Mytilus edulis: one gene and its partner. The protein of the gene in region 1 binds, or shares a complex with, the protein of each later gene. Links are inferred from orthologs where the notes say so. Each region holds a gene or a part of one and is shown on either strand. Other genes may lie near its edges. The genes, in order: 26S proteasome regulatory subunit 6A-B and proteasomal ubiquitin receptor ADRM1-like.

What was found.
Region 2: 26S proteasome regulatory subunit 6A-B (region 1) and proteasomal ubiquitin receptor ADRM1-like share a complex: the UniProt entries of both Caenorhabditis elegans proteins name them as parts of the 19S proteasome regulatory particle complex. The link is inferred for Mytilus edulis from reciprocal best matches to the Caenorhabditis elegans genes rpt-5 and rpn-13.

The regions. Positions count from the first base shown.
Region 1 is NC_092352.1:86,138,465-86,146,323, reverse strand, and holds the start of 26S proteasome regulatory subunit 6A-B, read right to left. Parts: upstream 3,311-7,859; 5' UTR 3,258-3,310; coding exon 3,216-3,257; intron 1-3,215. UniProt on the Caenorhabditis elegans protein: Component of the 26S proteasome, a multiprotein complex involved in the ATP-dependent degradation of ubiquitinated proteins.
Region 2 is NC_092355.1:80,494,032-80,501,810, reverse strand, and holds the start of proteasomal ubiquitin receptor ADRM1-like, read left to right. Parts: upstream 1-4,105; 5' UTR 4,106-4,146; coding exon 4,147-4,344; intron 4,345-6,488; coding exon 6,489-6,605; intron 6,606-7,779. Other genes in the region: phospholipase ABHD3-like, read right to left, coding at 556-663. UniProt on the Caenorhabditis elegans protein: May function as a proteasomal ubiquitin receptor. May promote the deubiquitinating activity associated with the 26S proteasome.

The DNA of each region.
Region 1 (7,859 bases):
CAATTATGAGGTCAATATTTGTATATTAAGATCTAGATGTATATTGCAGGGTTTGTATAATTTATGTAAGACTAATGTGGTCAATTTGTTTGATAGTTTAGGAGGTGGTGCATTGTATTCAAAGGTTTACCTTGTGACATGTCTCTGATTGTTTAGTGATAATGACAGTTGTCAATCATACTAGTATTGTATCAATACCCAATTACTTAATCAAAATGTTTTAAAAAAAAAGCCTGCACATCAACACACATTAGTAATGACATACAATCTTGAATGAACTGCTCCAATAATATACCCATTTTTTCAGTTTAGATGTTTATTATGAGCACATACATGAGAACAATAGGGAACTATATTTCAGTGTGAATACATTTACTAACAGTAGCTAACCTGTCGTGTTGTATGGGAGGCCGGTGCCTTAGTAAAGATTTAGAACAAGTTCTAATCTTTTCAAAAATGATATCAGATAATGATATTATATGTTATGTCACGATGTGTATGTTTGTTGTATGTTATATGTATTCAGGATGCAGTGTTCTCCCCAGGCCCTTAAAGGACCACGGGCCCGCGATGTATAATTTTCTGCCGCTGTGGTATCGTTCTTGCCGCGATGTATAATTTTTTTCCGTGGTGCTAAAGTTTTCGGTAAAAAAATCGTATTAAAATCGGTAAAGTTTCAGATGACTTCAACTTTACATCAAAATTGACCAGTTCTAACCAGTTTAATCCAGTATTGACAAGATGATTGTTTACACCACGTGATCGATTTACCTGTTGAGGTTAACCTTGATGATTGGATTTAATCGATGTACATGATTCTTTTGTGTTTTAATTAATTAAGAGATCATAATTTAAATAACAGACTTGTGAGGGACAAGCAGACATTTGTTAATGAACCCTATTACGCCAGTCTCAAGTCAAAATAATTTGCCTTTTAGGAATTAATTGTGGAGTTACTTCCCCTGATTTTGTTAATTACAAATAAATGCTCCTCACATATAATTTCTCATTGCAAATAAAAATAAAGTACAAATTGAATGCAAAATTATATTAGAATGTTACATTAAGGATGAAAACATTCTTAGAACATACCAACAAAAATGTTTTGCAAATTATTTTTGAGAATCATACCATTATTGATGCACAGACATATTATAATAAACGGGTAATTTATACAATGTTAAAATATTTGAGTGTAACAGGTCTAAAAAGCCTACTGCCACAACTCTAATACATTCCCATGCAGGACTAAAGCTAGGGATGAACCTTGTGAATAGAAAACTCTTTTAAAGTACTCTCCATGTCTGTAACAAAGTATTAATCATAAAAACAAATTTGTTGTTGTCTAAAAGAATCAGATCTAAAACTATGGAAATAGTTTTTAATTTACTGAAGGTTCTGTATCAAAAATCTTGTTCAAAGTTCATTGTTATGGGGAATGTGTAGTGTAACTACAAGTATCGGGACAAAATGGCTTGATCAAAATATAAGAAGAGACTTTAGCTTAAAGACTAATTGTGCTTTCTTTTATTTATTCTTCAAAGATATTAAAGTATACAAACTGTTTATTAATTTACTTTTTCTACCAATAATTTTCTGACCCAAAGTCCTACAACACAGTTCCACAATAAACAAAACAACTTTTTAGGCAAACAGGTAATGACAAAAAGTAACAAGAAAAAAAATAAGCGACGCAAAGCGACACAAAATACTGTAAAATTCATTTCGTCACGCGTTACCCTGGTGCTATCCAAAAATCCTGGGGAGAACACTGGGATGCCAGAACTTTATTTATTTGTTATACATTTGTTTTAATTGTTTATCATCATTTATGTATCATTGTCATTTTGCGTAGTTTCTTTTGCTACCTATTCAGACTTCTTTTAAACTGAGTTTTACTACATGAGTATTGCTATGTGTTTCTGTATTCTACATTGGCCAGAGGTATAGGGGAAGACTGAGATCTCACAAAAATATGTTTAACCCAGTCGCTTTTTTGTGCCTGTCCAAAGTCAGGAGATTCTGTCCCCTGTTGCTAAAATAAACATTTGGGAGGTTCTGATGATGTTGATAGAGGGCTGTTTAATGTCCAGCAGTTAATTAAATGTATTAAGGACAAGAATATGTTAAAGTAATATAAATATTAACCCTGCTTTAAACTAGAATATGCTAGAAAACAAGGAGGAAGACAGTCACCCTACCCTAACTCTAAGTTTATTTGTTTTTGCTTTTACTCCTTAAACAGGCTTAATACCATGTGGTTAGTTGAGAAGTAGCAGTTATTATTTGGCCGAGGTTCAAATCCACATCCTTCCACCCTTGAGTGGAACTCTCTACAACTTGACCATCAAGGGGGTCTATACATGTAGGTCTAAAAATGACAATCAGAGACAGGTGAAGCAAGAAGACCATTAGGCAAGTGTAACTTAGTCACGGATACATCGGTAATAGAATATGGTTTTGTCATTTGGGAACAGAGAAAACCAGAGGCTGACTATGTTCTATAAAGTGGTTGAGTGATGGGTGCAAGCTATTAAACCAACAAACTATCTGCAATAAATAAGAAATAAAGCCAAGTCAAGGCAGTGATTTTCAATACACAAACATCGTAGAAAGACAAGATCATTCAAACTGATAGACTGCAAAACCAGACATCAATAAGAACTCTTTTCTTCCAAAAAAAAAAATAATGCAGTGGTCATGACAAAACTAGCAAAAATTGAGGGTTTCACGGCTGCCTTTCAACACTTTTGGACATACCAACCAGTACTTCTTCCAGTACACATATACCCGTAATCAGATCCTGCTCTAGCCTCTGTGTAACTAACATGCAGATACAGACTAACATAGCCTGTACTGACTACTATGTACTGGTAAATATACACATGGACATGAATGATTTTATAAAAAATGTAAATTCGAATATTTATTGCATTACAATGAACATTATATTAACGGGACAATAACGTATGAATGTAGGTTTAATGATAAATTTCACAGGTCAACTTGTCATTCCTGGGGAAAAGTGTATGTACGGTGACCGGCGAGAGGATGACGAAGGAAAATTGAATCATGTATTCTCCTAAAAACTACAAAGAACTTTTCCATAACATGATATATTGACTCTTATGGATACTGAAGGCGACTGTATTTCTGTTTACAGGTCTCCATGGTGGTTAATTTAGTGAAACTGTGCAATATTTGTGTTAAAATACCTCTCCATCGTCCCAAATTGCCTTGTCTTCGAGCGTCGCCATTTTCACTGAATGTCACGTGACAGATCCGAAACTTCGACCTTAAAAATATTAAATTCTTTTAAATTGCAATATTTCATATATTAATTTCCTTAAACAATGTTAGAAGCTTGCAATTGAATCAGGTTTGGTTTTGATTTTTTTTAGTGTAATTGAATAAATTGAATATGATTATAATATTGGGAAAAAATGACAAGTCGACACATTTTCACTCTATCGCCACTTGCAACTATTCGCTCCAAAATAAAAAAAATCATATACGTCGGTTCCTGCTCTACGCTACCAGTTCGGCCATACTTTGAAAAGTTGTTTCGGCCATGGCCATTATTGTCTTCAAGGAGAGGGAAATATCATTGTTTATAGGAACACACTTGTAAGGAAACAAATGGAAAAATCTCATTTCAGTATTCAAACACACCAGTACCCTCTATAACAACGGAGCAACTTGAGGTGTATATACAATATTTCAAGATCTATACATGCGGTATGAACTGATCTGAAATAGACTAAACAAAAAAGATATTCTAAAGTATACGGTATTCAGTAGGTAATATTACTGTAAAGGAATTAAACGTCTCACTGCTTGTGGATGGCATTATCAAATTCAGTTATTAATCTATTTTTATTGGCACTCTGGCCGATGGCAGTAAAATCAAAGATATGAAACTTTAAAAGAACTAAAATAATAGCAATAACAATTGTTTTATGTTGCGATATTTGATATGATTATACATATTCTATGATATTATCTCGACATCCTCTTTGTATGTGAATTATAATTTTAATTTTATCTCCATTATATGTTTATATGTTATAAATGAGAATGTATTGTGTAATAATTACATTAGATGTATGTTTCATTATAATATTTTATTCTGATTGGCTAACTGCACATGGTATCCGGTCGTTCCGGCCCCAAACCGATCCGGCCCCAAGTCAATCCGGCCCAAAGTCGATCCGGCCCAAGTCGATCCGGCCCACGTCGATCCGTCCCCAAGTCGATCCGGCCCCATAATAAAATATGAATTAACTAGATTTTGGAGGAATTTGTCACAAACTTTAACAGTATAAATGGAATTTGAAAAAAGTGTCCGATCGATGATGGAAATGGAATTTGAAAAAAGTGTCCGATCGATGATGGATGACAACAGGTCAGTGAAGTATTGGAGTACCAGTTAACGAACTATTTTAAATCCATACGAAAATTAGTGTTAAAATTGTGTCTGTTTGTATCGCAGTTTCTACATTTTTAAATTATGAAGTTATTTTCCATGATAACTTTTACTTTAAATTTCATGGCGATATTTATTTTATTCAGTTCACACACAGAATATCTAAATAAATAAATAATGGACCTATAAAATTCATGGAAAATTTAACGCATAATAATGACTTACAAATGTATTATATGTCTCTGGTTTAATCAAATCATTAGTCTATAATTGGTTTGTTTATTCAACAGTTGTCTGATAATTGTGAACTAAAGTAATGCCACTCGTAATCACTTAATTCAATCCAATGCTGATTAATTAAAGTTACGTAATCTGTTTTTCAACAAGGTCTTTATAGATCTTTATAGTTTGATCTTCTGGTTGGTGTATATTATAATAATTATTTGTATTTTTTTTTCAGGTTACATCATAGGCTTCTATAACATATAAAAATATGCTATTCTATAACACTTTTATATCAGCATAAAATATAATATCAGCACTCTTTTATAAAAAGGATCCGGCAAATCAAACAACATTTCTCAATTTTAGAAATTTTAAGAACTTAGAAAGAAAAACAAAGTTTATATGTATCAGCTTGGAGATCGGCTTGTACCGTTCATGTATGTAACTATTTGTTATTATATGTTACACAAGATGAAAGACTTGTTAGGATCACAGTCAATTGAAAGAAAATGCTAATTACTGCTGATTAATGTTGATGTCTGAATTCTTTTATATACGTTTTAATATAATTATACCCAATAATCTTGAAAACTTGTAATAAAGACATAATCAACCTAGTTGTTTTATACTCATCTAAAGAAAATATTTTTCAAAGGCCTTTTTTACTTTTTTTACCGTACACCTTTAACATTATAATAAAAATAATAAACATTTATGAATTACAATTAATATATATTTATTTTTATTCCTTAGAAATATTTTTTTTTATTGGGGCCGGATCGACTTTACATATGGGCCGGATCGACGTGGGGCCGGATCGACGTGGGACGGATCGACTTGGGCCGGATCGACGTGGGGCCGGATCGACCCGAAAGCACTGCACATCACGTGTTATTCCGTAAGCAGTTGTAATGATCAATACAACTTTTCATTCATGATAACACGTGCTCCAACAATAAAGTGCACAGGTGAATTAAATAATAAAATATATAAAATTCGTGTTTTCGTGATCATAGCTAAAAAATGTAATTATAAGTATTGAATGCTTCTTTTTGTAACTTTATATGGTTGTAAAAGCGTTGACCGTGCGTACATTTTAGAATGAAGCGCTTCCGCGCTTCATACAAAATGTACTTCGGTCAACGCTTTTACACCCCAATAAATTTACAAAAAGAAGCATTCAATTCTTAATTGTTGTCATTATGTCCCGTCAGAGGCCCTTAATTGGAAAATAAAGAACTATGAACTAACTATACACTGAACGAAATGCCAACATTTATAGAATAGGAAAATCTCTGTTTTTTAAGATTATGAAGTGAAGTAAATGTTACTTATTCAACACTGTAATGTTTTAAATATAACACATATGTAATTTCACGACACTACAATCTGTGGATACATAATATAGTTTAGGATTGCACAAGCTCACGTTTTCCTAAAACTGTTTATGACGACTTTGCATTAAATCCATTGGATGTTGGACGTGTATTGATTGATATCTTAGTTTTAGATGTATGATTTTTTTTATTATTTGTCACAATCATTTTAACCCCGCCACATTCTTTGCCGGTGTGCCTTTAATTCAGGAGCCTATAGTTCAGTGGTTTTCGTTGGTTCATGTCTGTCATATAATTATTTGTGTTTCGTTCATTGTTTACTTATAAATTAGAAAAATAGTTTTCTAAATATATTTCTTATATTTCATGTTGTGGCCTTTACAGTCGATCAGACGGTTTGTGTTTTTCTCATTATTGAAGGCCGTATTGTTGCCTTGCTTACATCCTCTTCCTTTGAACTTTGGTGGGTAGGTCAGTGTCTCATTGGTAGTCATACGTGTTCTAATTTTTATATACAGAGTTTATCGGTGCGAGCCAATGCTCCGTATTGAAGACAATACTTTGACATATAATGGTTTTCTTTCATAAATAAATTTTGATTTGAATAGAGAGTTGTCTCATACCGACATCTTCTTATAACTATTTGTAAATCAAAACTGACAACAGGAACAAACCGTCATTAACCTTACAGGGCTGTAACTTGCCCAATAATTAAACTTTCATAACAGACCCAATATTAGCATATGTTTGTCACAATATTTTAATACTAGAACACACCCGTGATATCACGGGTCCGTGACTGAATTAAAGTATATAACTATGCGCAAGCCTTATTTTAGTATTAGTATTGTCATCTGATAAAGTCATGCCGATTATAAGATACACAGTTTTTCTCTGCTTTCAAGTCTTTCTGTTTGAACCCGTCGAACTGAAACAATAATATTAATTATTTGGAAAACAAAAGGTCCTGGAATGGAGTATTTTTTAATCAACAGCATTGTCCTATATAAGTTATCAATAAAGTTGAATTCTTTGCTTCGCTGTTTTACGTCATGCCCACTAACAAATTGAAAACTGTACCTATACGCCTTATTTTTAGTCCAGATTTTTAGTATTCGTATTGTTATCTTAGAAAGTCGTACTGATTAAAATACTACAATAGGTAACAATTTGACAATTTAGTAGTGTCAACCCTGTGGTTATGACCCGTGTATATAGCATATTAATCCTGAATACAACGTTTGGTGGTGCGCCTGTCAGATGCGGAACGTACAGATAAGGTAATAGGTAACAGGTGAATATACTATTGGTATCGGTAGCGGACTCGACCCAGAACTTCTTAATTATTGGCAATATTAATTACGTGGAATACAAAAGGGCCTGGAGTGGTGTAATTTTTAATCTACACCTTTGTACTATATTAGTTATATATAAAGTTGAATTCTGTGATTCGTCGTTTTTACGTGATGACGGCTGACAAATTGGACCTCGTAATTTTAGTATTATAGATATAACCAGGGTTTAAGCTAGGATTTTGAGGGCTTTATTCCCTTTTGCGCGCTATTATATTCAACCTATGTTTGTGTAACAGCAATGTACCAAGGATGTATATTACTAGCTTCTTCATCCTCGACATTGTCAGACTTTAAATTAAGGACTTAGGCATGATTGGCAGTTATTGTATGATTTGACTGTATTGGCCCTTATTATGAAAGATTCTGACATGAGATCCGGGAATTTAGTTTACAATTTCTCTTCAGTTTCTTCCAGGGGACATTGCTGATCAACAAAAGTTGGATTCCATTTCTTTAACACAAGGAATTAAAGCAGAAATTAAGTTGCAACGATTATCTCATTGCATAATCATTATC
Region 2 (7,779 bases), on another chromosome or scaffold:
AACACCTGGAATCATCCCTGGTCAGAATCAAGCTAAAAACCACATATATATATTGTGAATAAAAGAATAATAAAATTACATTATACATGTATATGTATTTATTCTCAAATTATTTACTTGACTTGGTGTCAGTGTTCATACCTGATCTCTTCTTAAATTCAAAACAGTCACATATATAACAGCCCAGTTTTTCCATAAGAGTAACATTTTCTTGGGTCAAGAGCAATACAAATTTAGATTTATTTAAATTTGTAAAATTACAACAATTGTTAGAAATGTCTTGAAAAAAATCGTCCCTTTAAATTTGAATATCATAAAGAGGGCATTCTAATAAGAAATGAAGCTCATCTTCAACTTTGCTTATGTATATAATGTAAGCGAGATTCAGGAATCTGACAAAACAGTAAGCGATATCGGGGATTAGAACCCCCAATGAGATCCCCAATAAAACCTAAAAATAAAAAAATTCAGACATGACTGTCAGTGTCAATGACTGTCTTCAGTAAGTTTATTAATAATTTAGTAATTGCTATTTTCTAAAGTTTGACAGCTTACCTTGACTACAAAAAGATAGTAATAACAGATGTATAATATAATAAAAGTTAAAGCTATCAATATTGAGGCATTTTCCCGGCAAAATTCTGAAAGAGCACCAAAGTCCATCTTTGCTGCATCAAAACATCACATGTGAGAGAAATGTCAAATTATCGGGTTACACTAATGACTGGACCGAATGACAGGACCGAATGACAGGACCAAATGAAAAATGCTAATAACTTTTTCATTTCTCAAAGGATTGATCTCAAATTTGAAATATAATAAGATTTCATCATTTGATAAATAGATTTAAGAAAAAAATTAAAAAGTTTTGTAAGAAACTTTAGAAAATGTGACATGACCAACTTTGATAATGACAGGACCAACATCGAGAATGACAGGACCAAATAAAAATGCTAATAACTTTTTTGTTTTTCAAAGGAATTATTTCAGATTTGAAATATAAAATGGTATGTCATATTTTGAAACAAAAATGTTGTAAAAAATATAGATTTATTTTCAAAAACTTTCGAAAAAGTGACATGACCATCGCTGATTGACAGGACCAACCTCGACAATGACTGGACCAGATAAAATTGCTAATTTCTCTTTTATTTCTCAAAATATTTTTCTGAAATTTGATATATAATAAGATTTCATCATTTGATAAATAGATTTAAGAAAAAAAAATTAAAAAAAATGTAAGAAACTTTAGAAAACGTGACATGACCAACTCTGATAATGACATGATCGACAATGACAGGACCAAAGTAAAATGCTAATAACTTTTTTTATTTTTCAAAGGAATTCTCACAGATTTGAAATATAAAATAATATGTCATATTTTGAAAAATAAATGTTATAAAAAATATAGAAAGTTTAAACGTGACATAACCATCGCTGACTGACAGGACCAACCTCGACAATGACAGGACCAGATGAAATTGCTAATTACTTTTTATTTCTAAAAAATATTTTTCTGAAATTTGAGATATAGTCAGATTTAACCATTTTATACATAAAAATAGGAATGATATAGGAAAAAAAATACTTAAAGCTTGCTGTAATGTGACCTGACCAACACTAACAATGACAGGACAAACCTTGACAAGGACAGGACCAAATAAAAATGCTATTCACTTTTTAATTTTGAAAAGGAATTATGTCAGATTTAAAATAAAATGTGATCTCATCTTTTAAAACATCAATTAAAGAAAAAAAATCTAGATTTTTTTTATTGCGAAAACGTGAAATGACCATAGTCCCTACTATAGAAATCCTGGTTGAAATTAATAATAATAATTAAAACACACACATTAAGATTGAATGATTTATAAGCTTTTAGAAAATAAGGGAAAAAGCTAACTTTATTTATCTTTGGTGTAAATATTTATCATATTAATTGATATTTCGCACATGCTATATCTTAATATAACTCTTTAACTATGTATTTGGGTTGAGAATAAAGATCATTCATTCATTCAGATTATTTTGTGTATTAATTACCGGACATAATCTGACACGTCTGAAAACAATTATAAGGTAACAAACAAAAGGTGTGACATAAGCCATAAATAAGTTGATAAATCCAATAAAGATTGTGATGACAGTAATTAAAATCACATAATAGTTCAAGTCGTTGTTTTATTCAATATTTTCAGAACATTAAATAATTATTTCCATGTATGCTTGAGTATATGCAGGGTATATCTTGATAGTTTCCCCCCTCATAATAAATAAACAAATAAACATTTCTTGAAGTATGCCCGACCCTTGCATGCATGATTTCTTGGTAGTTTCAAATATTTTCATAGAATATACTGAATCAAACATTTTCACGGACTACTTTAAAAGGTTTGATACCTTTTCAAAGTGGCTTAAATTGGGCTTCATGATGTCAAGAAATATTATGATGACAATTCAATAAATCTGAATTTATCTATAGTTTAATGAACAATCTCTTAAACAATAAAATGATTATATGTAATTACATATAAATATTTCAAGATCTCTTTCTTAAATATAGTGATCATTCGTGTCTTTTTGTCCTGTGACTCTGCATGTCCTGTGACTCTCTGCCAACATACGTTTAGCATGTTTAGTAGCTATGGGTCAAGAATTTTAACCACCATAGAATATATTTTGCTGAATTTATAAGATATATCTTACTAATTATGGATCAGAATTGAACAATTTCAGTAAAATCATTGGCCAGATCATAGCCGATGTTGGTCAGGTCACACAACCGCAAGCTTTCAATACGTTTTTTTTTCTATATTTTTCTTATATGATGTGCAAAATGGTCTTAATTGTCATTATTTCAAATTTGAGAGGAATATTCTGACAAATGTTATGCATAATTAGCATTTTTATTTGGTCCTGTCATTAATTGTCGAGGATTGTCCTGTTATTGACAACGTTAACCAGATCACATTTCAGCAAGCTTTTTATACCTTTTTCTTATATTTATGTATAAAATGGTATAATCTTCACATATTTTAATTTCAGAGAAATATTCTGCGAAATAAAAGAATAATTAGCAATTTCATTTGTTCAGGACATTGTCGAGCTTGGTCATGTCAGTCAGCGATGGGATCATGTCACGATTTTGAAAGTTTTTGAAAATAAATCTTTATTTTTTATAACATAAATGTTTCAAAATGTGACATATCATTTTATGTTTCAAATCTGAGATAATTCTTTTGTAAAATAAAAAAGATATTAGCATTTTTATTTGGTCCTGTTATTGTCGAAGTTGGTCCTGTCATTATCAGAGTTGGTCATGTCACGTTTTCTAAAGTTTCTTACATATTTTTTGTGTATTTTTTTTTAAATTTATTTGATAAATGATGAAATCTTATTATATTTCAAATTTCAGAAAAATATTTTGAGAAATAAAAGAGAAATTAGCAATTTCATCTGGTCCGGTCATTGTCGATGTTGGTCATGTCACGTTTTCGAAAGTTTTTGAAAATAAATCTATAATTTTTATAACATTTTGGTTTCAAAATATGACATACCATTTTATATTTCAAATCTGAAATAATTCCTTTGAAAAACAAAAAAGTTATTAGCAATTTGATTTGGTCCTGTCATTGTCAATGTTGGTCCTGTCATTATCAGAGTTGGTCATGTCACGTTTTCTAAAGTTTCTTACAATTTTTCTTTATTTTTTTTTTAAATCTATATATCAAATGATGAAATCTTATTATATTTCAAATTTCAGATCAATCCTTTGCGAAATGAAAAAGTTATTAGCATTTTTCATTTGGTCCTGTCATTCGGTCCTGTCATTCGGTCCAGTCATTAGTGTAACCCCAAATTATCTCCCCTGTGAATTTTTCCTTGAACTTGACAGGATAAGTCCATTTTCCAGACAGGGGACAAAGATTAGTCTTTTCCCAAATTAAGTTAATTCAAATGAATTGATATAGATAATTCATTTTCATGGGAAAAAATACTCTCTGTTTTTAAAAGATGATACATTTGCTATAATTTTTCAAATTGAAAGATTAGTTTCATGATTTTTTGAACAGATGAAAATTACTGCCCTACCCTATGGTAAAAGTCTATTTACCCAATTCACTTCCTGTACAAAAAACTTTGAAAATGGCTACTGGAGCTTTGTTCGGTGGAAATAGTCGCTCTCAGAGCAAGAATCTGGTTGAATTTCGATGTGGCAAAATGTTCATGAAAGAGAAAATGGTCCACCCAGATAAAAGGAAGGGGTTGCTCTACGTGTATCAGGCTGAAGACTCTCTAATGCACTTTTGTTGGAAGGACAGGGGCACCGGCACGATTGAAGATGTACGAAAACTGCTATGTCATTTTGGGTTTTTAATATATTTCATGTTGATGTATGCATTGTATTGCTCTAGATATTGCTAATATTTAAAGAAAGGAAATGTTAGATTTACACAACAAATTACAGTGTATCTGTACATAATTATCTGTACATAATTTTCTATGTACTGACTTTTTGAAATTAGGAGGAAAAGGGGGAGGGTGTTTTTCAAGGGGGTCTCATTTGGGGTTTTTGATCCTGAATCCTGCCTACTGCTTTGTCATATTCCTGTATGACGCTTAAACTTAAGCAATTCTCATTTTTTTGTAATTTCCTGTTTTCAGGTACATTAATCAGGTTGGGGACAACCCACCAAATGGGGAACTGTTCCCCAAATGATAGTCCGAGATTACTCTGATGTCCAACGGCTGTTTTGCCAGACAAGCTGGGGCCATGGGACGTCAGAGCTCGTCCCATATCAAAAAGTGGATATTTGCCCACCCAAAGTAGATGCGCTGCTTCGTTGCTTCTGGTGCCGACTGACGGCCTTGGGATTATATAAATCGTGCATCAATCTGTTCATTTTTCATTTATATCCTCATTTATGTAAGTTACACCTACCTGCCAACCTTTATAATATTTTCTCATAATTAGACAGTTTTCACAGTGACCCATCGATTTCAGCATTTTGCCTTTCATTTTCAAAGATTATCACATGACCACAAGAAAACAGTGATGATTTATGCAAATGACCATAATGTAACACTTGTTCATTTACGATGCAAGTTATCTAAGAGCTTCCGATTGTAATGTGGTCTGAACTAAATGCTTCATATCGATCTCCTGTCAACATGGTAAACAGTCGATTTTTGTTTTTGACTTAAATAAGTCAAAACATGTATTTATTATAAAAATGTAGTTTCAATTTTAGACTTATCTAAGTCAGAAAATGGCAGACTTGTTTAGGTCTATTTATGTTGGTGAAAAAACTTAATGTTACTTTGTGGCCAAACTACACCACCTATGACAGCAAAAACCTGTATGAGAGTTCACAAGGACTTGAGCTATCTATATTTAATTATCTAAGTGGACATCCTTACTAAACACAGATGTTTTACCTCATTAAGTGTGATTCCAGGTGGTTGCATTGTAAGGTTAATGAACATTATCTTCGATTTTTTAGACTCTCATTCATATTTTTCTATAGAAGACAAAGTATTGGCTTTCAATGTTGTCATTATTTGATTTAGATGCATGACCTCCTTATAAATATGTATGGGTCTTGAAGTTAACCAATTTTGATCACTCATCGACTTGTAGGAGTCGATATTTGAAACTTTTTGATTCTGGTCAATTATTTCTTGTTTAACAATATTGGACTTATTCAAGTCGTATTTTGTCTTACATTAAAGGGAGACAACTCCTAAAACTTACAAATTAAGACCTCTATGAGTCAAAAGCAGATTCAGACTTATTTATGTCTGAGCTCTGACTGGTAAAGGAGGTGAAAACCCGTGGTTGGCTACTAAATGTTAAACATCGATCTCCTATAAAGGAGGTGAACAAATATAAATATTTGCATATTTTGAGTCTCGAGACCACGGACTCTCTCGTTACTTGACGTCCATTTGAAAGTGAAAGTCAAAATGCCGAAATCTATGGGTCACTGTGAAAACTGTCTAATTCTGAGAAAATAAAGGTTGGCAGGTAGGTAAAACTTACATAAATGAAGAGATAAATGAAAAATGAACAGATTGATGCCTGATTTATATAATTCTGGGGCCGTCAGTCGGCACCAGAAGCGACGAAGCAGTGCATCTATTTTGGGTGGGCAAATATCCACTTTTTGATATGGGACAAGCTCTGACGTCCCACGGCCCCAGCTTGTCTGGCAAAACAGCCGTTGGACCTCAGAGTAATCTCGTACTACCCAAATGAGTAACAATCCCTCATTTGAGTTGGCACAAAAACAAAAACAAGTAGAAACCTTAATCAGCAAAAGTAATAAAAAAACATGGTCTACAAAAACTCAAATACAACAAAAACTATAGGATGTATCCTTAATAACTTATTTTTAGCAAATGCAAGGTGAGCAGTAAAGACTCTTGCAAGCTTCTTGTTTGTGATACATTGTGGTGAGATAATTGTATTCTCTTTATATTTTTAGGATTTGATAATCTTCCCAGATGATATTGAGTTCAAACATGTTACTCAGTGTACAACAGGAAGAGTCTATGTCCTCAAGTTCAAGACATCCAGCAGAAAGTTCTTCTTTTGGATGCAGGTAGGTTTTACATGAACAGGGTGAGTCTTATGTCCTCAAGTTCAAGACATCAAGCAGAAAGTTCTTCTTTTGGATGCAGGTAGGTTTTACATGAACAGGGTGAGTCTTATGTCCTCAAGTTCAAGACATCCAGCAGAAATTTCTTCTTTTGGATGCAGGTAGGTCTTACATGAACAGGGTGAGTCTAATGTCCTCAAGTTCAAGACATCCAGCAGAAATTTCTTCTTTTGGATGCATGTACATTTTGGAAATTAGTATGGCGTTCATTATCACTGGACTAGTATATATTTTTTTAGGGGCCAGCTGAAGGACGCCTCCGGGTGCGGGAATTTCTCGCTACATTGAAGACCTGTTGGTGACCCTCTGCTGTTGTTTTTTATTTGGTCGGGTTGTTGTCTCTTTGGCACATTCCCCATTTCCATTCTCAATTTTAGGTCTTACATGAACAGGGTGAGTCTTATGTCCTCAAGTTCAAGACATCAAGCAGAAAGTTCTTCTTTTGGATGCAGGTAGGTCTTACATGAACAGGGAGAGTCTAACGTCCTTAAGTTGAAGACTTCAACTTCAAGGAGTTAGTTCTTTTTTTGGATGTAGGTAGGTCTTGAGATGTCAGAAAGAATTTTATTTTCATTCTCAGAAAATGTTTGATAAGCAACTGAGTTTAATCATTTGCAGGAATCATGGTAATTTTGATCTATATTTTTGTTATTTGAAAAAAACTGTGAAATGTCAATTTATTCAGTACATTACCTAATATTAGTCTATAAATGTTATTTTGTTGTTCAAGTAATGATTTTCATATCTTTGTAACTGGAGGGGTTTTTACGTTGCATATTTTCTGTGTCAACTTTTACATATCATACCCAAGACCGTGTAAAGAGTAAGTATCGGAATCCTGAGTCTCTGATCCTTCATATGTCATGTATGTGGCTTTGTAGAACTTAACACTAGCAAGTTTTCATAGTTTATTATAATAAATTACAATTTAGCAAATATCAACAATATTATAAAGATAAAGGTATTCAAATGTAAATAAATTAAAAGTGACAAAATATGGTGAGGTCTGTGCAAGACCAGCAAGACTGAAGATAGACATTTTGTTCTACAATGTATATATATAACAATGTCATCTAACCAACAGTTAGTGGTAAGGTCTGTGCAAGACCATCAAGCT